Linked DNA regions of Schizosaccharomyces pombe. The protein of the gene in region 1 binds, or shares a complex with, the protein of each later gene. Each region holds a gene or a part of one and is shown on either strand. Other genes may lie near its edges. The genes, in order: ptr8, tfb1, ssl1 and rad15.

What was found.
Region 2: ptr8 (region 1) and tfb1 share a complex: the UniProt entries of both Schizosaccharomyces pombe proteins name them as parts of the 7-subunit TFIIH core complex.
Region 3: ptr8 (region 1) and ssl1 share a complex: the UniProt entries of both Schizosaccharomyces pombe proteins name them as parts of the 7-subunit TFIIH core complex.
Region 4: ptr8 (region 1) and rad15 share a complex: the UniProt entries of both Schizosaccharomyces pombe proteins name them as parts of the 7-subunit TFIIH core complex.

What each region holds. Positions count from the first base shown.
Region 1 is NC_003424.3:1,759,328-1,764,955, forward strand, and holds ptr8 (transcription factor TFIIH complex ERCC-3 subunit Ptr8), read left to right. Parts: upstream 1-2,219; 5' UTR 2,220-2,459; coding exon 2,460-4,874; 3' UTR 4,875-4,992; downstream 4,993-5,628. Other genes in the region: SPOM_SPAC17A5.05C (uncharacterized protein), read right to left, coding at 301-1,044; SPOM_SPAC17A5.19 (uncharacterized protein), read left to right, coding at 1,806-1,904, 1,949-2,128; SUMO deconjugating cysteine peptidase Ulp2, read right to left, coding at 5,009-5,465, 5,550-5,628. UniProt on the Schizosaccharomyces pombe protein: Probable ATP-dependent 3'-5' DNA helicase/translocase. Binds dsDNA rather than ssDNA, unzipping it in a translocase rather than classical helicase activity. Component of the general transcription and DNA repair factor IIH (TFIIH) core complex.
Region 2 is NC_003424.3:3,519,562-3,524,962, forward strand, and holds tfb1 (transcription factor TFIIH complex subunit Tfb1), read right to left. Parts: upstream 2,829-5,401; 5' UTR 2,810-2,828; coding exon 2,764-2,809; exon of another isoform or gene 2,727-2,763; coding exon 2,640-2,726; exon of another isoform or gene 2,595-2,639; coding exon 1,932-2,594; exon of another isoform or gene 1,887-1,931; coding exon 1,703-1,886; exon of another isoform or gene 1,646-1,702; coding exon 1,102-1,645; intron 1,059-1,101; coding exon 981-1,058; 3' UTR 612-980; downstream 1-611. Other genes in the region: rsm7 (mitochondrial 37S ribosomal protein uS7m), read right to left, coding at 1-199; SPOM_SPAC16E8.18 (uncharacterized protein), read right to left, coding at 3,089-3,412; protein Png3, read right to left, coding at 3,575-4,083, 4,364-4,435, 4,483-4,537. UniProt on the Schizosaccharomyces pombe protein: Component of the general transcription and DNA repair factor IIH (TFIIH) core complex, which is involved in general and transcription-coupled nucleotide excision repair (NER) of damaged DNA and, when complexed to TFIIK, in RNA transcription by RNA polymerase II.
Region 3 is NC_003421.2:382,218-386,813, reverse strand, and holds ssl1 (transcription factor TFIIH complex subunit Ssl1), read right to left. Parts: upstream 2,624-4,596; 5' UTR 2,342-2,623; coding exon 2,124-2,341; exon of another isoform or gene 1,994-2,123; coding exon 946-1,993; 3' UTR 767-945; downstream 1-766. Other genes in the region: meiotic pumilio family RNA-binding protein Mpf2, read left to right, coding at 1-690; SPOM_SPCC1682.06 (uncharacterized protein), read right to left, coding at 3,676-4,001, 4,047-4,437. UniProt on the Schizosaccharomyces pombe protein: Component of the general transcription and DNA repair factor IIH (TFIIH) core complex, which is involved in general and transcription-coupled nucleotide excision repair (NER) of damaged DNA and, when complexed to TFIIK, in RNA transcription by RNA polymerase II.
Region 4 is NC_003424.3:662,018-668,426, forward strand, and holds rad15 (transcription factor TFIIH complex subunit Rad15 ), read left to right. Parts: upstream 1-2,330; 5' UTR 2,331-2,764; coding exon 2,765-5,083; 3' UTR 5,084-5,630; downstream 5,631-6,409. Other genes in the region: MAP kinase kinase Byr1, read left to right, coding at 6,136-6,409. UniProt on the Schizosaccharomyces pombe protein: ATP-dependent 5'-3' DNA helicase, component of the general transcription and DNA repair factor IIH (TFIIH) core complex, which is involved in general and transcription-coupled nucleotide excision repair (NER) of damaged DNA and, when complexed to TFIIK, in RNA transcription by RNA polymerase II.

The DNA.
Region 1 (5,628 bases):
AGTACTTGAAGAAAAAAGTTGGTACTTAATGCACGTCAAAAAACAGTAGTTTTAACTATAACGAATTAATAAAAAATGTGGAAATAATAAATTTTAGAAGAAGCAGGAATTACGCGTACCCAAGGATTTCTCTTTTTTTTATTTTTTCAAAGGAAGCTTAATAACAACATGACCCTTGCATAAAACAAAGAAAAGCAAAAGAGAAAAAACAAAAATAGAACAAAAAAAATCACATAAAGCGATACATCTAGTGAAAGCTATGATCTTTTTTTAAAAAAGCCCTCCAGAAACTCATCAGATTTAACCGTCAATTAAATTTCGGCTTTTAAAAAATCGAGCATGCACCCTTTCTAAGACATAATCATGAGAGATACCATACCCCAAAGGACACCAGGTGTCTATATTCCAAGCATCCCAACCCCATTCAGGTTTCAATTCAGGTTTTTTGTGAGGACCCAAGACTAAAAGCCAGCGACATTGAACAGATAAGGCATAACAAGTAGAGAATAGTTTAGATGGTTCTGTAAGTAAATGAAGAGCAAAAGAACATATTACAAGGTCATATATGCCATCTTCAGCGCTACTTGGAGGTAGTTTTTCATCAGCAATATCCTGAAAGTTTAGCGTTAAGCATGGCTTACCAATGCGATTTGTGTAGGCTTCTAAAGTAAATGGGTCCGTAGCTATAAGCTCAAAAGGAGGTAATTCTGGTGGAATAGAACGTATAGAAATTTCTTTACGGACTTTAAAAGCTCCTCCATGTATACCCAGTTCCCTCCCTAAATGCTCCCATTCTATAACTGTTTCTGAAACTTCCCCACTTCCACATGCCAAATCTATAACATGCAATCCGTGACTTTTAAACTTTTCATCATGATCCCAAAAATGACTTAAGCACTGCAATAGCAAAAGTCGTAATCCCCGAAAATGCAAATTTCGATAAGTCCCTCCTACCTTTTTGTAATAAACATCTACGCCTTGCGCATAGTTATCTCTCATTGAGTAAGGAGCATTTCTGACTGAATGAGTAGGACGCCAACTCATTTTTAATTATGGGGTAAAGAAATAATGTATTCCAGATGTCAAATCTCTCACAGTGTTAATAAAGTAATAAATTATTTTGAATTAATTAACTGCAAATTCTAAATTTGGTATTCGTTTTTCTTTTTTTTTGTTTTTTCACGCGACGATGCAAAAAGCAAAAAAAAAATTTAAATATAATTTATCAAGATACCCAATTTGACAAGAAAATGGTGAGTTAACCGAGTTTATTCAATATGCATCACGAATTCGCACAAACGACTTGTTCTCGATATTCCACCGTCCTTACTACTTTAAGTTTTATAAGTAAAGTCGTAGAAATAGAAATGATATAAAATAAAAGGAGATATGTCAATGAAATGAACGAAAGATGAGATTTCTTATGTAGTAGGTATACTGAACTTAGTACAAACCGGATAAATTCAACTAACATGAAAATTTGACTAAAACAAATCTCGATTCACGACAGCATAAGCATACAAATCACAAATAAATAATTTTTTATTTAGTTTGTGCATTGTATGTATCTTTCGTTAGTTTTTTGGTTTCAGTTATGATTTATTGATACATCTTAACAATAAGGTTATTGTAAACACGTTTGTTGACGAAATGATTGTTTAACAGTGAAAATTTCAAATGAGTTTCGTATCATAAAGTAGATGTTCATTCGAATTAAAGAATCAAGTTTACGAATCCATTGCGCATGCTAATGTTAGCACTGGTATACACCTAACCTTTGCCTATAAGACCTTTCTTACTTAATAATGTCGCTTCGTCGAATACCGAATAAAAATCTAATACCTGAAATACCTCCCTTCCCAGAGGAGTCAATTAATCTATTACAGAATGGCGTAAATACAATTGTATGTTTGGGATGCCAATTTATATACTAATCAAGCTATTTTAGCCTCGAATAAATCTTGAAGATGTAGATGTTATGTCAACCAAATTACCCACAGATGAAGAATTAACAGAAAATTATCAAAACTGGAAAAAAAATCTTGAAGTAGAGCGTCTTGAAAAGCTTAAACGAATTGCACCAGGGTACTCTGCCTCTTCACCCTTATTACCTAGCAAAAGTGATTAATCCCAAGATAAAATTTAGATTTATTATATTTTTCGATTAAAATGATAGTATTTTGGTGGTACTAACAATCGCTTCATCTTACTAGTGATTTGCCATTAACACACACACACCCACAGGAGAACCTCCTTTTCTTTTGTGCTTATAAATTTAAAAGTGACAGCTGAAAAGTTACGAAACTTAATAATCAGTTGAGAGTTGTTGCTTTAAATTTCTTTTGATTGGCCTCGCATCTTGGTTTGTCGTTTACTGCTGCAAATTATTATTGCCATACGGCAACTCATTTTCAAAGAGTTTGAGTCATTAGCTATTTATAAACATTTCATATTAAATAATGAGCCTAAAGAGAAAAAATAATGCAAGGGAAGGGACACCTGACGAGGATTTAGAAGAATATAGCGATTACAGCGATGTTGACAATTACGGTGAAGAGGATGATGATTCTTACAAGCCTGCACCCAGGATTCGTATAAACAACAATAAAACTAAAGCACAAACCACGACTAATAGCAATGAAGCCCGCCAATCTGGGATTTCTGCTATGTTTGGCCAAAACGATTTTTCTAATTTACTAGGTTTAAAATTGGATCATACGGCTAGGCCACTTTGGATTAATCCAATTGATGGTAGAATTATCCTTGAAGCATTCAGCCCATTGGCTGAGCAAGCTATCGACTTCTTGGTAACAATTTCAGAGCCAGTTTCTCGACCCGCTTTCATTCATGAGTATAGAATTACTGCATATTCACTTTATGCTGCTGTTAGCGTTGGGTTAAAAACTGAAGATATAATAGCAGTCCTTGATAGACTTTCAAAAACCCCAATTCCTCCTTCTATCGTAGACTTTATCCGCGCTTGTACTGTCTCTTACGGTAAGGTCAAACTGGTCTTGAAGAAAAACAGATATTTTATTGAAAGTGGAGATGCAAGTGTTTTACGACTGTTATTAAGAGATCCTGTCATAGGCCCTCTTCGAATCGATTATTCTACCCAGTCTAGCAAGCAGAAGTCTTCAAAGCCTTCCAATGAAGATAATGTGGAAGACAAAAAAGATATCACCAATGATTCCTCAAAAGAAACTGCTGAGAAAAGTTCATCTGATGAACTGTTTTCGGCAGTAGTAGGCTTACAGGAAGAGGAAGATGATGAAGATGCCGTTCATCTTTTCGAAATTAAGCACTCTTCAGTGGAAACTATCAAGAAGAGATGTGCAGAGATTGATTATCCCTTATTGGAAGAGTACGATTTTCGTAATGACAACATCAATCCAGATCTTCCTATAGACCTTAAGCCAAGCACTCAAATTCGTCCATACCAAGAAAAGAGTCTTAGTAAAATGTTTGGAAATGGTAGAGCTCGAAGTGGAATTATTGTATTACCATGTGGAGCTGGTAAAACCTTGGTTGGTATCACAGCGGCTTGTACTATCAAAAAATCAGTAATCGTGCTTTGCACCAGTTCTGTTTCGGTAATGCAATGGCGTCAACAATTTTTACAGTGGAGCAACATCAAGCCTGATCACATTGCGGTTTTTACTGCTGATCACAAAGAACGGTTTCACAGCGAAGCAGGTGTGGTTGTCTCCACGTACTCAATGGTTGCCAATACCAGGAATAGATCCTATGATTCTCAAAAAATGATGGATTTTCTTACGGGACGTGAATGGGGGTTTATCCTATTAGACGAAGTACATGTGGTTCCTGCTGCCATGTTTCGGCGAGTTGTCACCACAATTGCCGCTCACACAAAGCTTGGGTTAACTGCTACGTTAGTTCGTGAGGATGATAAAATTGATGATTTAAATTTTTTGATTGGGCCTAAAATGTACGAAGCAAATTGGATGGATTTGGCACAAAAAGGTCACATCGCTAAGGTTCAATGCGCCGAAGTTTGGTGCGCGATGACCACTGAGTTTTATAATGAATATCTTCGAGAAAACTCCCGAAAAAGAATGCTACTTTATATCATGAATCCTAAAAAATTTCAGGCTTGTCAATTCCTCATCGATTATCACGAAAAACGTGGTGATAAAATTATCGTTTTTTCAGACAATGTCTATGCTTTGCGTGCTTATGCAATAAAATTAGGCAAATATTTTATTTATGGTGGAACTCCACAGCAGGAAAGAATGAGGATTTTGGAAAATTTCCAGTATAATGAACTTGTAAATACCATTTTCCTTTCTAAAGTTGGTGATACGTCTATTGATCTTCCTGAAGCAACCTGTTTGATTCAGATTTCTTCTCATTATGGTTCTAGGCGTCAAGAAGCTCAACGTTTGGGGCGTATTCTTCGTGCCAAGCGACGAAATGATGAAGGCTTTAACGCATTTTTCTATAGCTTGGTATCTAAAGACACTCAGGAAATGTATTATTCCAGTAAACGGCAAGCATTTTTAATTGACCAAGGCTATGCTTTTAAAGTCATCACTAATTTAAAGGGTATGGAGAACTTGCCAAATTTGGCTTACGCCTCCAAAGCGGAGAGACTTGAGCTTTTGCAGGAAGTATTGCTACAAAATGAAGAAGCAGCTGATTTGGATGACGGTGAGGATACTAGCTTTGGATCCAGAAGTCTCTCTAGAGCACCGGCGAAAGCTAAACGTTCTAGTGGTTCTTTAAGTACATTGGCTGGTGCCGACAATATGGCATACGTGGAATATAACAAGAGTGCTAATAAACAGCTGAAAAAGGACAGTAAAGAACATCATGCCTTATTTCGGAAGCACCTGTATACTAAACGTCGCTAGCGAAGTTATACATGCTAGCATACACACGATATAGACATGAATTTTGTTGATTTTTCTACGCTAAAATTTTTGATAATAATGCTTTCGTTAAGTTTTAATATGAAATTATGATTTCCCTAATTCCCTTGTAAATTCTAATTTGTGATTGGCAATATTGCCAAATCATCATCATTTTCTTTATCTTCTTCATCGTTGCTTCCGCTGCTAAGCGATTGTCGTTCATTGTTAGACGACCACTCAGTTGACAGACGGCGAATTAAACCCTTCAAATCGCATCTCATCGTGTTAATCTTTTGAAGGTTCCACTGTTGGTCGAAGTTTTTAGCATCCGTCCGTCTAAGAGATTTATCTAAAGTATTGGCTATCACTTGCTCAGGAGTTTCAAGAAATAGTTCGACGAAATGTAACGCATATATACCACAATCAGAAAAATTGCTTTGTTGCGGGACTTTTGCATGAAACCCCCGTATATCAGTGGACTTAAGATGTACATTTTTCCTTTCGAAAGCTTCTTCCAGTAAATATTCACGTAAGTAATTTAATGCTCCTTTATGAAGATTTGCTAAAGAATCAAAAATCAAAATTGCTGGACTATAATTAACTTAGTAAACTGAATCAAATGATTTATGATATATTTTTCCTTTTAATCAATAAAATTGTAAACCTTTAACATACCTATTGCTCGTTAATTCTGCTTGTCTAGTCTTTGAAGCAGACGGTTGTTCCACAGACGACATAACTATTTCATCCTGCT
Region 2 (5,401 bases), 1.8 Mb from region 1:
GTAAATTTTCGAGTCCCGCATTATCCCATTGTGGATTTGAACGTTCATTGATATCTTCAATTTTTTCATTATATTTTTCATTTGAGGTAAATTTTCCAACTTGAAAAGTACGAGTCTGATGGATAAAAACAAGCGACTCTTTCATCAAATGTCCCGAACTCGCACATCGAAACAAAGGTTGCTTTATGAGTCGTAGCATGGCCCTTTATTGTTTGTTCTTTCTTCTTGAATGAAATTTTTAAAACAATTACTCTTATTAATCAAAGCATGTAGGAAAGCTAAGGTGTGCGTAGATGTTTAAGCTTAGTACATATACACTATGGATAAATGAAAGAAAAGGGAAGGGAACTAGGCGCTAGCGTGCTACATTTCAAAGTCGTTTGGCTATTTATTTATTAACTTGAAATAAGATAAATTAGGTAATCGATGTTAAAATATTCATCATTAATTGTGTATCCAAATTTAATACTTGAGCTAGACACAGTTTTATTGGGATCATACAGAACTGATACCTTGAAAGAAAGTAAAAAAAAAAGTTATATATAATATACAGAGAAGCGATAAATTGAAAAATTGTAAAAACAAGCATTTAAAACAAAAGAGAGAAATTATGGGACATTAATTAATTGAACATCAGTTTATAACATACTATATTCGTGTCATAAAACGAATTTTAATAAATAATAAAATCTATAAAGACATAAAAACATTAGATTTTGGCCTATGAGCACAGTAATCTAAAAACAGTTTTGATTGTCTTTTGAATCTATAAACCAAAACAAAAGTTTTTTAATTCAAGAGTTGTATAAACAGAAAAAGAGCCATATCCAGCATTTCAATGTTCATTTTTTCCAGCCTTTATGAAGAAAGAACATTAAGTCCAATAAAGAATATATCAATATATCATTAACCTCTATATGGAAAAACAGAAACAATTACCTTTTACAAGCACAATTGAGTTTCCAAAGACATTATCAAACCTAAGCAGGAGGATAAGACATTCGTCTTTGATACTCCGAGATTGACGTATCAATAGAAGTGAGCGTACAGGATACCAACTAATCCTAGTTAATAATCAAAATCTCTACAAAAAAAACTTACCTCATAAACCAGTTTTGGATCAACGTTTTGTTCCTGAGCCTGGCTCGCAATTGCCTCCACCCTTTTTTTCGAATTTAACAGAGCATTCTGAAGGGGGGCCATCGCCTTCTTGTCCGGGAAAGTTGTATTCAACAAGGCATTCCAAAATTGATGCAAAAATTCTATCGTAACGGTATGGCACAAAACAATTTCATTTTTTATGTCAATAGGTAAATTTGATGCAGTGCCGTGGGTCTCAAACTCATGCTTTTCGCGCATACTCTGAGTAAGCTGCATAGCGGCTTCAGCCAAAGAGTCAGAATCATGTTCAATGTGATTTAAGCTTATCGAATCTTCCTGGTATAAATGTTGAAGAGCTTCCAATGAAGGCAAAGGCTCTAAACCAACTTGATTTTTTGAGGGGACAAAATTATTTTCCAATAACTGATCTTGACCTTTGATTTTTAAGACAACTTTAGAGTCACTGGCTTCTTCTTCTAAATCGTGAAAACCAGATTCTTTTAAGTATGTTTCTTCATTTTCGTTGTTAAATCGTTTAGAGTTTCTACAAGTTGTTAGGCATACCGAAGCAATAACAATTAATAAAACCGAATATACATACCCCAAACTTTTTTCCAAAAGTCTTTCCGAAAGCTGATTGATGTTTTTCATAAACGGTAGAGCTTCTTTGTCAATTCGCATAGTGATATCAGGTCTAAGTTCTGCTATTACATTTGCATTTTGATCATTTCCTTCTAAATCAAAGAGGTGCGATGCAATAGGTTCATCCGATACTTTGGTTACCTCTTGAAAATGTTAGAAATGGAATTCATCTAGGTTGGAGAAATTACCTTCATTATCTTTTAAATACTTATCCATTATATCATCAGAGGGATCCATTGGTGTAATTCTGTCGCCACGAAGCTTTTTACAAAGCTTGGAAAGGAAAAATCTACTCCAAAACTCTCCTTCTGCTAGAGGAGGCACATGCTTGTCATATACCTTTCGGAGCAATGGATGTTGTTCAAACATATCGTGAATTTGCTGGCCGGTAAGGGAAACTTTCATTTGGTTGTCCACTGTTTTAGGTTTAATAGTAGACAAGACATTATAAGGACCACGCTGCTGAGACCTTTCTACAGCATGAGCGCGGAGCAAATGAAGCCTTGTGCTCCAAAATTGCTCATTACTTAAATGTCCCTTCATAACTGCTTCCTTAAATGTTTGTAAGAGATCGGGATTGTTAGTAAGCAAAGACTCTTGTAAGTCGATGTCCTTTTCTAGATTCGTAGAATTTACACGATCGACATTGGCTCCTTGTGGTTTAGATTGAGAGCCTTCCCTTTGTCTTTGTATCGCATTTCTCAACTCATTAGTAATCATATCACAATTTTCTCTGGCATTAGGAGTACCGGTGAAATGAAATACTAAAGAAGTGGGATCTTCACCTTCCTTTACTACTATAAAAACACGAATCATAACTTTTGGATTAGACGCTGGAGTAGTTTGAAGATCTATCAATCTGTCAGTAATCTCGAAAATGCAACAATTATTATTACTCGAAATTGCATCAAAAGCAATATCTACTGATGGTGTTGTTTTCCCTTCCCCCGTCCATTTTAATCTACTATCGATAGATAATACGCCTGCATGTTAGAATCATTGATTTAATTGTTATTTTACCTTGTTTTTTTCTGAATATGGCTAATGCTTCTACCCTGTCTCCCATCAGATATTTTGGTAGTTGTGGAATACACCGCTAGTCTTTTACGAAATTATCAAGATTTGTTAGACACAGGATGAACATTGGAAACTACGAAAATCATTAGAAAAATAAAAGTTTTGAATGGTTTCTTGATGTCCCAAATCATATACACTTAGATTTTGGGTAAATATATCCTCATTAAGTTGAGCTATGAACATAGGTAACCTATAAGAGACAGTTATCTAAAACTATAGCCCTGTTTTATTTTTAAAAAAATACAATATGAATTAATCATATACGCAATCAATCCGACCCTTCAGAGCAGTAGACAAGAGTGGTTGTTGTTCCATAAAGTACAATGCGTTTATCCCAGGTAATACGATATATCTCAGCCAAAGAGAAAGAACCAACATGTGAAAAGTAATAAACTATCACTACTAAAAGTTCAAAAGATTCGTAATGTCCGCCAAAAAACTGATAGTGGCTACAAATAGAATTTGTAGAGTAATTCAAATGTCTAAATACGTTCCTTTCTAACATAATTCCTGGTAGTATTATCAAGTAATTGTTTCCAAAACATGCAAACTCTTTAAACGTAGCATTAAGTATGAAAGAAGTTACCTCCATTCGAATCAGTATGGAAAGACATGAGTTTATATATGTTTTCAAAGTGACTTCTGTTGAATGACTAGAATTTAGTAGCTAATCCCGGATAAACTATTATTAGTGTATTTCAATTAGAAAAACAAAAAAGCAAGAATTTTAATAATATAAGGCTTTACGTAAGTTTCAAGATTTATTGTAAGAAGAAACGTTTGCACTGCTCTCTGAAGAATAGGGAGAGAATTGTTTGATGTCGAGGTCTTCATTTGTGGTCTCGGTTAATTCCTCTGTCTCTGGTAGTTTACCAGAATCCGTGATTATTTGCTTTTTATCTCCTTCCTCCGATGCGTTTTCAGCTGCTAGCAATTCTTTAGCACGGCGATTCCTTAAATTGGCTCTCCGCCGGGATGCTCTAATAGGTCTCGAAGTTTTTTGCTCTTTTATAACCTCTGGAGTGAAAGGAATAAAAAAATTTGGTAATTTCATTTCCATCTTTTGATAACAGTGTTCTAAACGTAAAACATTACTATGAGTAATTGCCTCTGCATACATTGCAATGTGGGATTTTTTTCGAGTTTGTACATCATCGGATTTTAACAGTAATGATAAGTTTCGAGCGACTAAATTACGACGTTCAACACTAGTATCTCTGTTAAGAAGGTCATCAATTGAAGAAAGAGCTTGTGAATACACATCTGAACATGTTAATCATTTTAAATCAGAAAAAGGCAAGCTCTAGATAGGCAAGTTTTGATAAGAACAACATAAACTTATTATAAGCCTCAGTAGCGTTCAAGTCCTTTTGAATAACATATTCAAGGTTCAAACAAGTCCTAAGCAGATTGATTAAACATTAACAAAGAAAATCAACACCAGAACGGTTTCACTAGTAATCTTTCATTTTTTTGTTTATTATCAAAACCTTCACAGTTGTTCAAGCAAAAAATCCCAATCTATAATGCCACTATCACTTACCCTTTAGTTCAGCCTCTAAAAAACGGACTTCCGTAAAATTTTTGGATAAATCACCCGGTATAGCTTCCAATGCTAAATAATGTAAGAAAATTATTTATTTACACATGTTCATTTATTACCGTCAGCAAGTTGTATAAGAAGATCCAAGTCATTTTCCTTTTTTGGTTTTGCCATGGCTGACGACTTGTCGATTATATACAGCTATTCATGAGGATTCTTTCTAGTTTGACTTTTATTACTTGCCCAAGGTTAGCATTGCTTTTTGCTTCCTTTTGTTTACGTCTGTAATATAAGTGCAATCGAACCAAAGAATCTCGGTTTTCCACTTATAAGGCTTGCTTCAAAGCTTTTTCAAAACTTTATTTTATATAGCTGTTCTCCAAAACACACCTAGCTTCTTTTACTTGAGTATGAACTATTGTACCTAGTTGGTAGTGGTCGTTCATGAAATGCGTTAAACTAGGAAAATATCGTCCCGAAGAAATACGGGATCCTCATGGGTCAGTGATCAGTTTTTATAATAAAGTAAAAAATTCAAGTCATTTTAAAGTATGTTCATTTCAAAAGGTTGCTTGCATTTTAGTCAATGGCCAATCCGTCAGCTTAATTAAGCACATTCATGTTTTCATACGCTTGCTTGGCACCTCTGGTTCTTTTAAGAATACAAAATTATTTTTTTAGTGATGGTCCCAGTTTATTCAAAACTATCTCCTTCTAAATGGGCTGAGAATCTGAGAACTTCCTGAATGGTACCCCCAGAATATACTAAATACATGCTTGTTAATTGTTTTTTTTAAACCGACGGGAAGAAAAGGGCAGAAACAGAATACAACATAAATTGTTATTATATTATAAAATATGCGGTTCTTGGAATCATATTAAAATCTTATCCTAGAAGTATACAACGCGAGACCGACAAGTAATTGCATAGAAACATAGCTCTTAAAGAATCGATTTTGTAAGACACTTGACCAATTGTAAAAGAAAACGAATTCCTAAAATGAAAAGTTTTCAATTCAATTTTTGCATGTTCAAATT
Region 3 (4,596 bases), on another chromosome or scaffold:
GATGTTACAATAATGCACCACTATGCATGCCATGTCTGGCAAAAATTGTTTGAAACGCAATGGTACGAGTATCCAGTTAATGTCATGAATCGCGTAAACAATGCCTTGAGAGGAAAATGGCACGAAGTTGCAGTCGGGGAAAATGGAAGTCTCGTAGTCCAAAATATGTTTGAGAACTGTGTAGAGAAAGATAAGCGTGAATGCATTGAGGAAATCATTTTTCATTTAGACGGTATTGCACGTGGTCAATGGGGAAACTGGGTGGTGCAACACATGGTAGAAAACGGACAAGGAGAGGATTTGAAAAGAGTCATTGATGCATTATTGAATCGTGCAGTGGAATTTAGTATTGACCAATTTGCCTCTAAGGTCATTGAAAAAGCAATTAAGTCTGGCCCAAAAAATTTCATTTCCTTATATCTAAAACAAATTACAAACGCGAGAGTTGACCGAACAAGGCAGCCTTTAATCGATATTGCATCTGATCAGTATGGCAACTATTTAATTCAGCAAATAATTCAACTTGGTCAACCAGCTGAGAAAAACCTTGTCATTACGCATATAAAAAAGCACATGGTTTCTCTTCGGGGAAGCAAGTACGGTCAGAAGGTTGCTTATTTAGTCGAGAAATGGAATTCTCAAAAACAGGTTTCCTCTGTAATCAACTACAACTGCAATACTGACCTCTGATCTGTAAATATAGGGATATATTCATTTCCACATTTTAATTAGTTTTTATTTTATATATGATACAGCTCTAACACTTACTGAAGCATCAATAGATCAAATTTTCACTATCTTCCGGATAAGGTAGTTAAGCAACGATCTCTTTAAATAAGTAAATTGAAATATATATCTCTTTACATATTTGTGAATAAGTAGCATAATAGTATTTTAAAATAATTATTATAAATAAATGCGTTCATTAATATACCAAAAGAAACTTTAATTTCCGGAGCATTGGCATCCATAACACTCATGAAGTTGTTCATGCGCAAAAACATCGCAATCCAAACAAAAATGATTTTTACACGAGGGACATGCATACCGCATCGATGAAGTAGATTCGTCAAACGGTGAAACCGGCGGCTTCGGAAAAGGTAACTGACACGCAAAGCAATGAGTGGACTTTGGATTTGCGGACCAAGGAATTTCGCTCCAGTTTTTCAATGGAAACAAATGATGATAAGATCGAGCAAGATGTGTTGAAAGGATTAGAACGAGAGAACAACTAGGGCATTCGATCGGTAAAGTACAAACTTTTGCTTTACAACGAGGACAATGAAACCCACCACGAGACGGAATTGAATGGCAAGCACAAAGACTTGGCAATTGCTCAACGACCTTAGAAGGAAATCCCATCATTACCAAAGAAGCATCAGTGGTTTTAGCCGAATCAGTAGCAGGAGGTATTGTGCTTTCGAGTAGAAGTTCGCGAAAATGTTGTTCACTGATGACTACGCCGTAGGCATTTTTCGTAGATGAGTTAGTTTTATTACAAATTTCTTTACAAATGGCGACTTCAGCAGCCAAACCAACGATACGGACACGAATAGAATCATGAACCAGAGCATCAATCGTCTTGAAAATGTCGCCAGGGTCTGATGATAAGATGGAACCAAAAATGATAAGGACTTCTCTAGTGCCATGGGAAGCAATGTGTGATAAAGAAGCTCTAGCCATTTCGAGAGCATTTTGAAGAGAGAAGTTTCCACTACAATCTCGAAGAGATTTAAGCTTCTGAATATGCGATTGAGGATTCCCATGCAAATCAGTTATCCGATGAGCGATTCCATCCATTACGCCTATAATCGATAATTGGGAAATAGGATTTTGTTCAAAAAACTCAAGAACAAATTCAGAAGCATACTTTATCTGAAGGTCGAACCGCTTATGATGAAAATCACGCTCCTCCATAGAGTTGCTCAAATCTAACACCAAGACCATGTGTCTAATAATACCTCGTTGTAACGGAGTTGTATCTCTAAGAAGTCTAAATCAGATTGACAAGTTAGTATACCGTTCATCGATGCTATAAAAGACTAATATGTTTCCAAATGCCCAACATAGGCAACTAACAAACAAATGAAGAACATAAGAAAACCAATTTTGATACGCCATACCTTTTACGTTTCCCGCTTTGAATAAGCCCAGCGATAACGCCTACTAAACTACCCTCTGCGTCCTCCTGTACGATATCCCAAGAACGCTGATATTCACCTTCCCAAGTATAACCCTCATTATCGTCAGTTTTCCTGCTTCTTACTTTAACTCTTCCATTTTTTTGTTCATCCTCGCTTTCCGACTTGTCAGAGTCAAAACTTTTTTGGTTCTCATTCATTGAGTGTTATTTTAACCGAGCATAGGTATTATGCCAGAACGCTATTTGATAATTAGATAAATGAATATTGCACAAATTCTATTCCTTGGTTTCTACAGACTAAAGAACTCAAAGCGAATGTATTTCTTCAAGTCACGTTTTACCCAGTGAACTTTTGGTAATTTGAATAGTCGCGTCGAGTTGCTTTACATGCAATGAGCGAAAGTTCTTTCTTTTATTATTTTTAGTTTTATTTTTTTAAAAAGCAATGACTCCTGGGCATACCAGTAAAATGGTAAGACTAAGTAAGTACTAGAACAAGAGACCATTTACACGAAGACAATACGGACAAGGAGCGCAACCATTATTTGTTAAATATAATAATGAATTTCGTTATGCTGCGTTAATTCGTGTTTATCAGTCTTTGATTTGTGATATGAAATTTGTATACAACTATTTCTGTTATTTGAAAAAACTTAGGAAATTATGAAAGTAAAAGAAGAATATAAAATAAATCTGTACTCCTCATTCTTTAAGGATGAGTTATATATCGTATTTTATAAAATTATTTATGGCTCGGTTATTTGTACAAACTGCATATTGCAATATAGTAGAGACTTAGAAATTTGCAAACTGCGTAATTGCCAATATTTTATGTAAAGCTACAAGTGATATGGACATAAGAAGAATAATTACTTTTCGCTTAGGCTGAATGTTGGATGGTTTGCAGGACGAAAGAGTTCATTTAATTGATTTTCTCGAACAGAAATTGGCTACTGACTAGGAATTGCGAAATCGCATTGTTTAAGAAGTTCTCGTTCTACTCCAAGGTCGATTTTTTCGTTTTTATTTGTCTTAGAAACAAATTTCAACTTATATTTGCTGTATATACTGGTTTTTAAAACTCCAAAACTTGAGAATGATGAATGGAATCCTTATTTCGTATATATCCAACAAAAAAAAAGGTTAAATCACTACTTTGCATCTTTTGAGTAATGTCTTAATTGAACAATTTTTTAAGTCGCAAATCTTACAAAGTCACAATTAAGGATTGTATATCAATTTGGTAAAACAATAAAGAGGATGATTAATCTATAATTGACAACAGATTCATTAGTTAAATGAATTTTCCTAGCACCACAAATACACATCGTGTTTGCTCTATAACAGAGACAAAAATAGTGATGACTGTCATCGAAAATGATTAAGTGATGATGCATATAAGATAATAATACAAGGAATAGAAATAAAGGAGAAAAGTGACTTTTGCAAGAAAGTAAGAAAATTAGTGATGAAATAAAAAAAACCCTCGCAACTGTTGGCAGCCCCTTGATTTTTTTCTCTAGCCATGACTTTTAGTTGCTGCCCGATTCTACATCTTTAGAAGTGTTGCAATCGGTTTCCTCAGCCATTGTATTGTCACTTGCTGGCTCTGTGGTAATTGCTTGGCCTCGCATAGACGACATTTCAACGTCGCCAGTCTCTTCATCTTGTTCTATTACTTCGAGCCCGAGAATAAACAACAGTAAGGATAAAATAATATGAGCCAAACCTTGAATTGCTTTAGCTACATATTTAGCTAGGCCTGCAATCGCTTTAGCTAGACCTTCATTCGCTTTAGCTACAGACGGTGCATAAACATAAGCTTCTTCAAACGCTAATTTAATTAACGAAAATGAAACTAGAAAATCGTTAGTCATGAATTCAAATCATCTCAAAAACTTACAATAAACAATAATCACTGTCATCACGTATGTAAATATTAACACTATAGTTTCAATAACATATTTAACCACAGAATTAAGATCCGCCAATGCCTGATCGAAATAATTATAAAAATTATGATAAAGCAATAAAGTAAGAATGAAAGGAAGGAAGATATGAAATATCGCATATCTAGCTTGTGTAAGTCGCACATTTTCCGAACGCTTTCTTAATCTAGCAGGTGCAGCCATTGTATTTTTTTTTCGTAACGATGGTTGTGTTAATGTTGAGTTTTGTTTGACAATTGGATTGTTTACATGATTATTGACTGAATATGAAGGACAAGAATGTAAACAACCCTTCTCCAAATCATTCCAAACTTCATTGTATTGAGGTAACTTTTCGTCTGGCATTTTGAAGAGCCTTTTACCAATAGTGATTATATACGTTTGAGTTTCAACTTGAACATTGCAAAATAAAATGCGAAATTAAAATATAAAATAGATAAATAGATCAAAACCAAACGCTTGAATAGCCTAAAAATCCACGCGTTCTAAGCATCCAACAAAAAG
Region 4 (6,409 bases), 1.1 Mb from region 1:
AATCAAGTGTCATGACATGAAAGTCTAATCGGTTATTTGCAACATTAACCGAAACTTGTAGAAAATGCGCTCTTTGGCAGTTGAAAAACGCAGACATTACAGATGCTATAAATACATAGTATTAAAAACATAATAACAAATAACAATAACATGTTAATTAATCTTGCTATACATAGTAACATCTATAAAACGCAGTGTAAACAGAAATCATTTTGACATGAATTTCTTATGTAACAAATGAATCTTCCATCTTTAAAGGGAAATCCGATCGCTGTGTTCTCAAGTTATCGACTCCTTTTTCTCATAGCAAAGGCTGAGCAAGCAATCAAAGCTTTTGCTCCTAGGATTATCTAGGACGATGCAACTTCAACATTCGTTGAACGGACCGCATACCCATTTCCTAGGTTCAGGATTTAAGCTTTGTATTGTGTTGTGTGGTAGTACAATTAAGCAAAAAGGAACCGAACCGTTGGGGCTGAATATTGTTTTTCACTATCAAACAGGTAATAAGATATATATGAAGCAAGCAACTTATTTGTAAGCCTAGCTAAATGCTTTATCAATATAAACTCGAGGGAAATATTGGTAGCATAGTATTCCTTTAACTTTTCTTTTTTTTTAAATTAATTTTGATTTCACTTTTTAGTTAACGAAAAGAATTATTTTTTATTTAATAATGGCAAGCGGAGTTGTTTCAATCCAATATATTACATTTACCAGTAAAAAAATTCGATACTTTCCCTCCACCGTGTTAAATTGCTGCATTTTTTTGCATGTTACGGGATGTAAGGAAATAATCTCAAACCAGTCATCCTTACTTTGGTTTCCTACATTTAATGAGCCATGCCATCTATCCTCTATTTCAATACCTTCCTTCCCATTTTTTTCTGCTAAATCGATATGTTGTTTTTTAAATACTCTTTGTTATTAGTACTATATATGCACTATTGATTTTGCTAGCAATGTATTGTATTATTTGTATGTTTTGTAGAAAATAACCTACTCGCCAACCCAAAAATACCAGTTGTTTCCGACAGCGTCATTTATTCATCACACTTTTCCGAAAATCGGCTTTACAAGTCCCGAGTAAAAGTGAATCAAGAAACAGCTACCATGAATTTGATCAACGATTTTGAGTAACCACAGAAAAACTCAGTATGGCCCATTACGGTTGGAATGGGTCGTTGTTATGAATGCCATTTTCTTGTTACCGAGCGGCAAACTCCAACAGTATATTGTTTTGTAGCATCGCTAATGAATGATTCGTTAAGTTTGTTTTCGTGGAATTTCATGCTCTTCTTTTATACCCGAAAGCCGGATACTCGTCGATATACTAGATGTGTAGTGAGTTAATTAATTAGCCAGAAATTAGTGAATGGGAGAGATTTTTAAAATATCAAGATTGATCATTACTAATCATCTTTCATCTTTCACAATACTTGTCATCGATGATTGATAGAGATTGCCAAGAGACATTAGGTAAAATAAAACGTAACAGTTTTGACGATCTGCTGATTTGCTTGATGTCAACCTTGGGTATGTTTTCATTAAACATGATTGCTGATGGGTTTCATAATTCGTGAAAAATTGATAAAGCACTTTTCCTTATCATCTACACATAAGTGAACAGGCAAATCAATCCGTATTGTCTCCTCAACATACGGAATGTCATTAAAACCGGTAAACTGTACTAACCGGTGATTACGGGATAATAAAAAACCACTTCATTCATTTCAAAAACTGTTGATATAGTATTCTGTATGATTTCAAGAAGATAACTCTTCGGTGACTTGCTGTTTATTGCTCACCTGGCGATTCTAATTCCTTTTATTTTTTATCCTGATACGTATGTATTTGTTTTTCCCTCTTTAGAATAATATTCATTAAGCTTGAATAAGCGGTTATTAGTTTGCAAATGATTCAGCAGCTATATGTGAGTTTGCCCTTTTTCACTTGTCTACAGAGTCGGGAATTGACTTGTAAAACAAAATAAATGGAATATTGCAAATGTATTCTTTTTGCCTTGTGTTTATTTAGGAGTAGTATTGCGGAAACTTGTTTTCAGAAAACAAAGTAGCGCTTATGCTCGGTAACTACGAAAATACGAATTTTTTTTCCAATAAACTAGTATTTATTAAGCAATTGCATCTTCCATTAACCATGTCATTTCCATCAATGTATAGTTGTATGTACACCATGTATTTACGAATATTATCCAATTTAACGTACTTTACAGTATTTTGCTTATAAATGTTTACCGTACCAACTCAGCGTTCTTCATAATCCAGTTCTATATGCACTACAAATATAAAGCAGCCACTGTTAATTTCAGGACTCATTCTTTAAGCTTGGATCGACAAGTAGTTTCTCCTGAGATTCTCACTGTAAAGTAGCTCACTTAAACCTTAGGTCAGAATTATTTCTTGGTTCGTTTTGTTTTACCCTCTTCCATCCCATGTTTATTTATTTATCTTTGTGAACTTATTCATATTTGTGTATCAGTGATTGACGACTAAATATTGAACCAAAGCAGAACCTACCTCATTCTTATAATACCCATAAAAATTTATTTCTCGCTTTATTCATTTCATTTTTATGAAGCGATTGTTAAGCGATCTTTACCCACTATTATTCATCAATGCTAGTTCATAATTCTTTTGTTTCAACTTTTTATCTTATTATTTAATTCCTAAATTTTTTTTTGGTCCAATAGGCTGTCATATACTCAAATTAATTTCCTCAAAGTCAACGGATTACACCCATAATGAAGTTCTATATTGACGATCTACCTATTCTGTTTCCTTATCCACGCATCTATCCCGAGCAGTATCAGTATATGTGTGATTTGAAACATTCTTTGGATGCGGGAGGCATTGCGCTCTTAGAAATGCCTTCGGGTACTGGAAAGACCATTTCTCTTTTGTCCCTTATTGTTTCATATCAACAACATTATCCTGAGCATCGCAAGCTCATCTATTGTTCACGTACCATGTCGGAAATTGATAAAGCATTAGCTGAATTGAAGCGTTTAATGGCGTATCGGACTTCACAGTTAGGATATGAAGAACCATTTTTGGGTCTCGGACTAACCAGTCGCAAAAATTTATGTTTACACCCTTCTGTTCGTCGTGAAAAAAATGGGAATGTGGTAGATGCCCGTTGTCGCTCACTTACGGCGGGTTTTGTGCGGGAGCAAAGATTGGCTGGTATGGATGTTCCTACTTGTGAGTTCCACGACAATTTGGAAGATCTTGAGCCACACAGCCTTATATCTAACGGTGTTTGGACCCTTGATGATATCACAGAATACGGCGAAAAAACTACACGATGCCCCTATTTTACTGTACGTCGTATGCTACCGTTTTGTAATGTTATTATTTATTCGTATCATTATTTACTAGACCCCAAAATTGCTGAACGAGTTTCTCGAGAACTCAGTAAAGATTGCATTGTTGTTTTTGATGAAGCACACAATATTGACAATGTGTGTATTGAGTCTTTAAGTATTGATTTGACAGAATCTTCTTTGAGAAAAGCTTCGAAGAGCATTTTGTCTCTTGAGCAAAAAGTCAACGAAGTAAAACAGTCTGACTCAAAAAAACTTCAGGATGAATACCAAAAGCTTGTTCGGGGCCTTCAAGATGCTAATGCCGCAAATGACGAAGACCAGTTTATGGCGAATCCCGTTTTGCCTGAGGATGTTTTAAAGGAAGCTGTTCCTGGAAATATTCGACGAGCCGAACATTTTATTGCATTTTTGAAGCGTTTTGTAGAATATTTAAAAACAAGGATGAAAGTTTTGCACGTTATTGCTGAAACACCAACTTCTTTTTTGCAACATGTTAAAGACATTACATTTATAGACAAAAAGCCGCTTCGGTTTTGCGCTGAGCGACTCACTAGTCTTGTTCGTGCCTTACAAATTTCACTAGTTGAAGATTTTCATTCTTTGCAGCAAGTAGTAGCTTTTGCGACCCTTGTTGCTACTTATGAGCGTGGATTTATCCTAATTTTGGAACCCTTTGAAACAGAAAATGCTACAGTTCCCAATCCAATATTGCGGTTTTCCTGTCTTGACGCCTCAATAGCTATTAAACCAGTTTTCGAAAGATTTAGGTCTGTGATTATCACGAGTGGTACTTTATCCCCCCTCGATATGTACCCCAAGATGTTGCAGTTTAATACTGTTATGCAGGAATCGTATGGAATGTCACTTGCACGAAACTGTTTCCTTCCTATGGTAGTTACTCGGGGTAGCGATCAAGTAGCTATTTCTTCAAAATTTGAAGCCCGTAATGATCCTAGTGTTGTTCGCAATTACGGTAATATACTGGTTGAGTTTTCGAAAATTACACCTGATGGCTTAGTCGCATTTTTTCCAAGTTATCTCTACCTTGAAAGTATTGTTTCTAGTTGGCAAAGTATGGGTATTCTAGATGAAGTCTGGAAGTATAAGTTGATTTTGGTGGAAACACCAGATCCTCATGAAACAACTCTCGCCTTAGAGACTTACCGGGCTGCTTGCAGCAATGGCCGTGGAGCAGTATTGCTGTCAGTCGCTAGAGGAAAAGTCTCAGAAGGAGTGGATTTTGATCATCATTATGGTAGAGCAGTAATCATGTTTGGTATTCCGTATCAGTATACTGAGAGTCGTGTTTTAAAAGCACGGTTAGAATTTCTGAGGGATACGTATCAAATTCGGGAAGCAGATTTCTTAACATTTGATGCCATGCGGCATGCTGCCCAATGTTTAGGTCGCGTTTTGCGTGGAAAAGATGATCATGGAATTATGGTGTTAGCAGATAAACGATATGGTCGGTCTGATAAGCGTACAAAATTACCTAAATGGATTCAACAGTATATAACCGAAGGCGCTACAAATTTAAGCACTGATATGTCCCTCGCTTTGGCGAAAAAATTTTTACGAACTATGGCACAGCCTTTCACTGCGTCTGATCAGGAAGGGATTTCTTGGTGGAGTCTTGATGATTTGTTGATTCATCAGAAGAAAGCATTGAAGTCTGCGGCTATAGAACAATCCAAACATGAGGATGAGATGGATATTGATGTGGTTGAAACTTAATAGAAGCCATTTGTAAAATACTTTGATTCTAATCATCTTTACTAAGGCAATCCAAAACTCATGAACACAGCGATGAAGATATTTGGAAGCGAATGGCTAACTTTTTTGTAGGTGTGGACAATGTATGTATCAACTTGTATTCGAGAGTTGTATAGTGGACATTTCAATCGTCATCACGATACGCATGCTACTTACGAATTGTTTTAAGATCGCAGAGCAGAGAAAAAATATTATTTACACTCAGTTGGCAATTAATTTGCGAGTCGCTAAATTCGAAGTACTTTAAAATTTTTTTAGAGACTGTGTTCAAATAAAATCGGTTTCAGTTGTTGTAATGCTTCTTAAATTTTCCATCCCATCAATAACAATCCAGCGTTTCAAAGAGTGATTATTGGCAATTTCATGCTGCTATGGAAATTAAGCTTACATTAAGCGAGCTAGTTAAAATACGTGATGCAGTAATTGTAAGCCTAGTTATATAAACAAAACATCTGTTTATCATTTAGATACATAAAACAAAAGTTTACATATTCATAATATATTCTCATAATCTAAAAAATTTCCTTGATAGTTTTATGTCGATAAAATTAGTCTCCCATACTTAGTTCTAAATAAATGAACGTTTTGGGGTTGTACAACTGATTCATTGCTGTATTCTATGTAATATATAAATTTCTTGAAAATAAAAAATCTTTTGGTTTTACGGATTCACGGTTGGCTTATACGTAATTGCCAAGCACATATAAGATCAATGATGGTTTCTTTACCAAACTACTGTATAAAAAAATTACTCTAGCACAAAAAGGATACCGCTTTCAGGAATTCTTAAATATAGAAAAAAAAATAAGTGTAGCTTATTGCAAGGGTTGTCTCTAGTCACGTTGGGGTAGTCAGAATCCTGTCATAACTACTGCTTTGTATCTTTGATTAGCAAAGTAACTTATTGAATACAGTCAGCTGTCAAATTACAGAAAAAGAAGCAACTTTAATAGTATCTTAAATGATATAATCTTCGATACAGGTTTCTTTGAGAATTTGGCCAATAGCTAGAAATGTTTAAACGACGTCGAAATCCAAAAGGTCTTGTGTTGAATCCTAACGCCTCTGTTAAAAGCTCTGATAATGATCATAAGGAAGAGTTAATTAACAATCAAAAAAGCTTTGAATCCAATGTCGAAGCATTTATGGAGCAATGTGCGCATATGAATCGACGCCCAGCTTGGATATCTGATTTGGACAATAGCAGTTTGGAAGTAGTGAGGCATTTGGGAGAGGGAAATGGTGGGGCTGTTTCATTGGTAAAGCATAGAAATATTTTTATGGCTA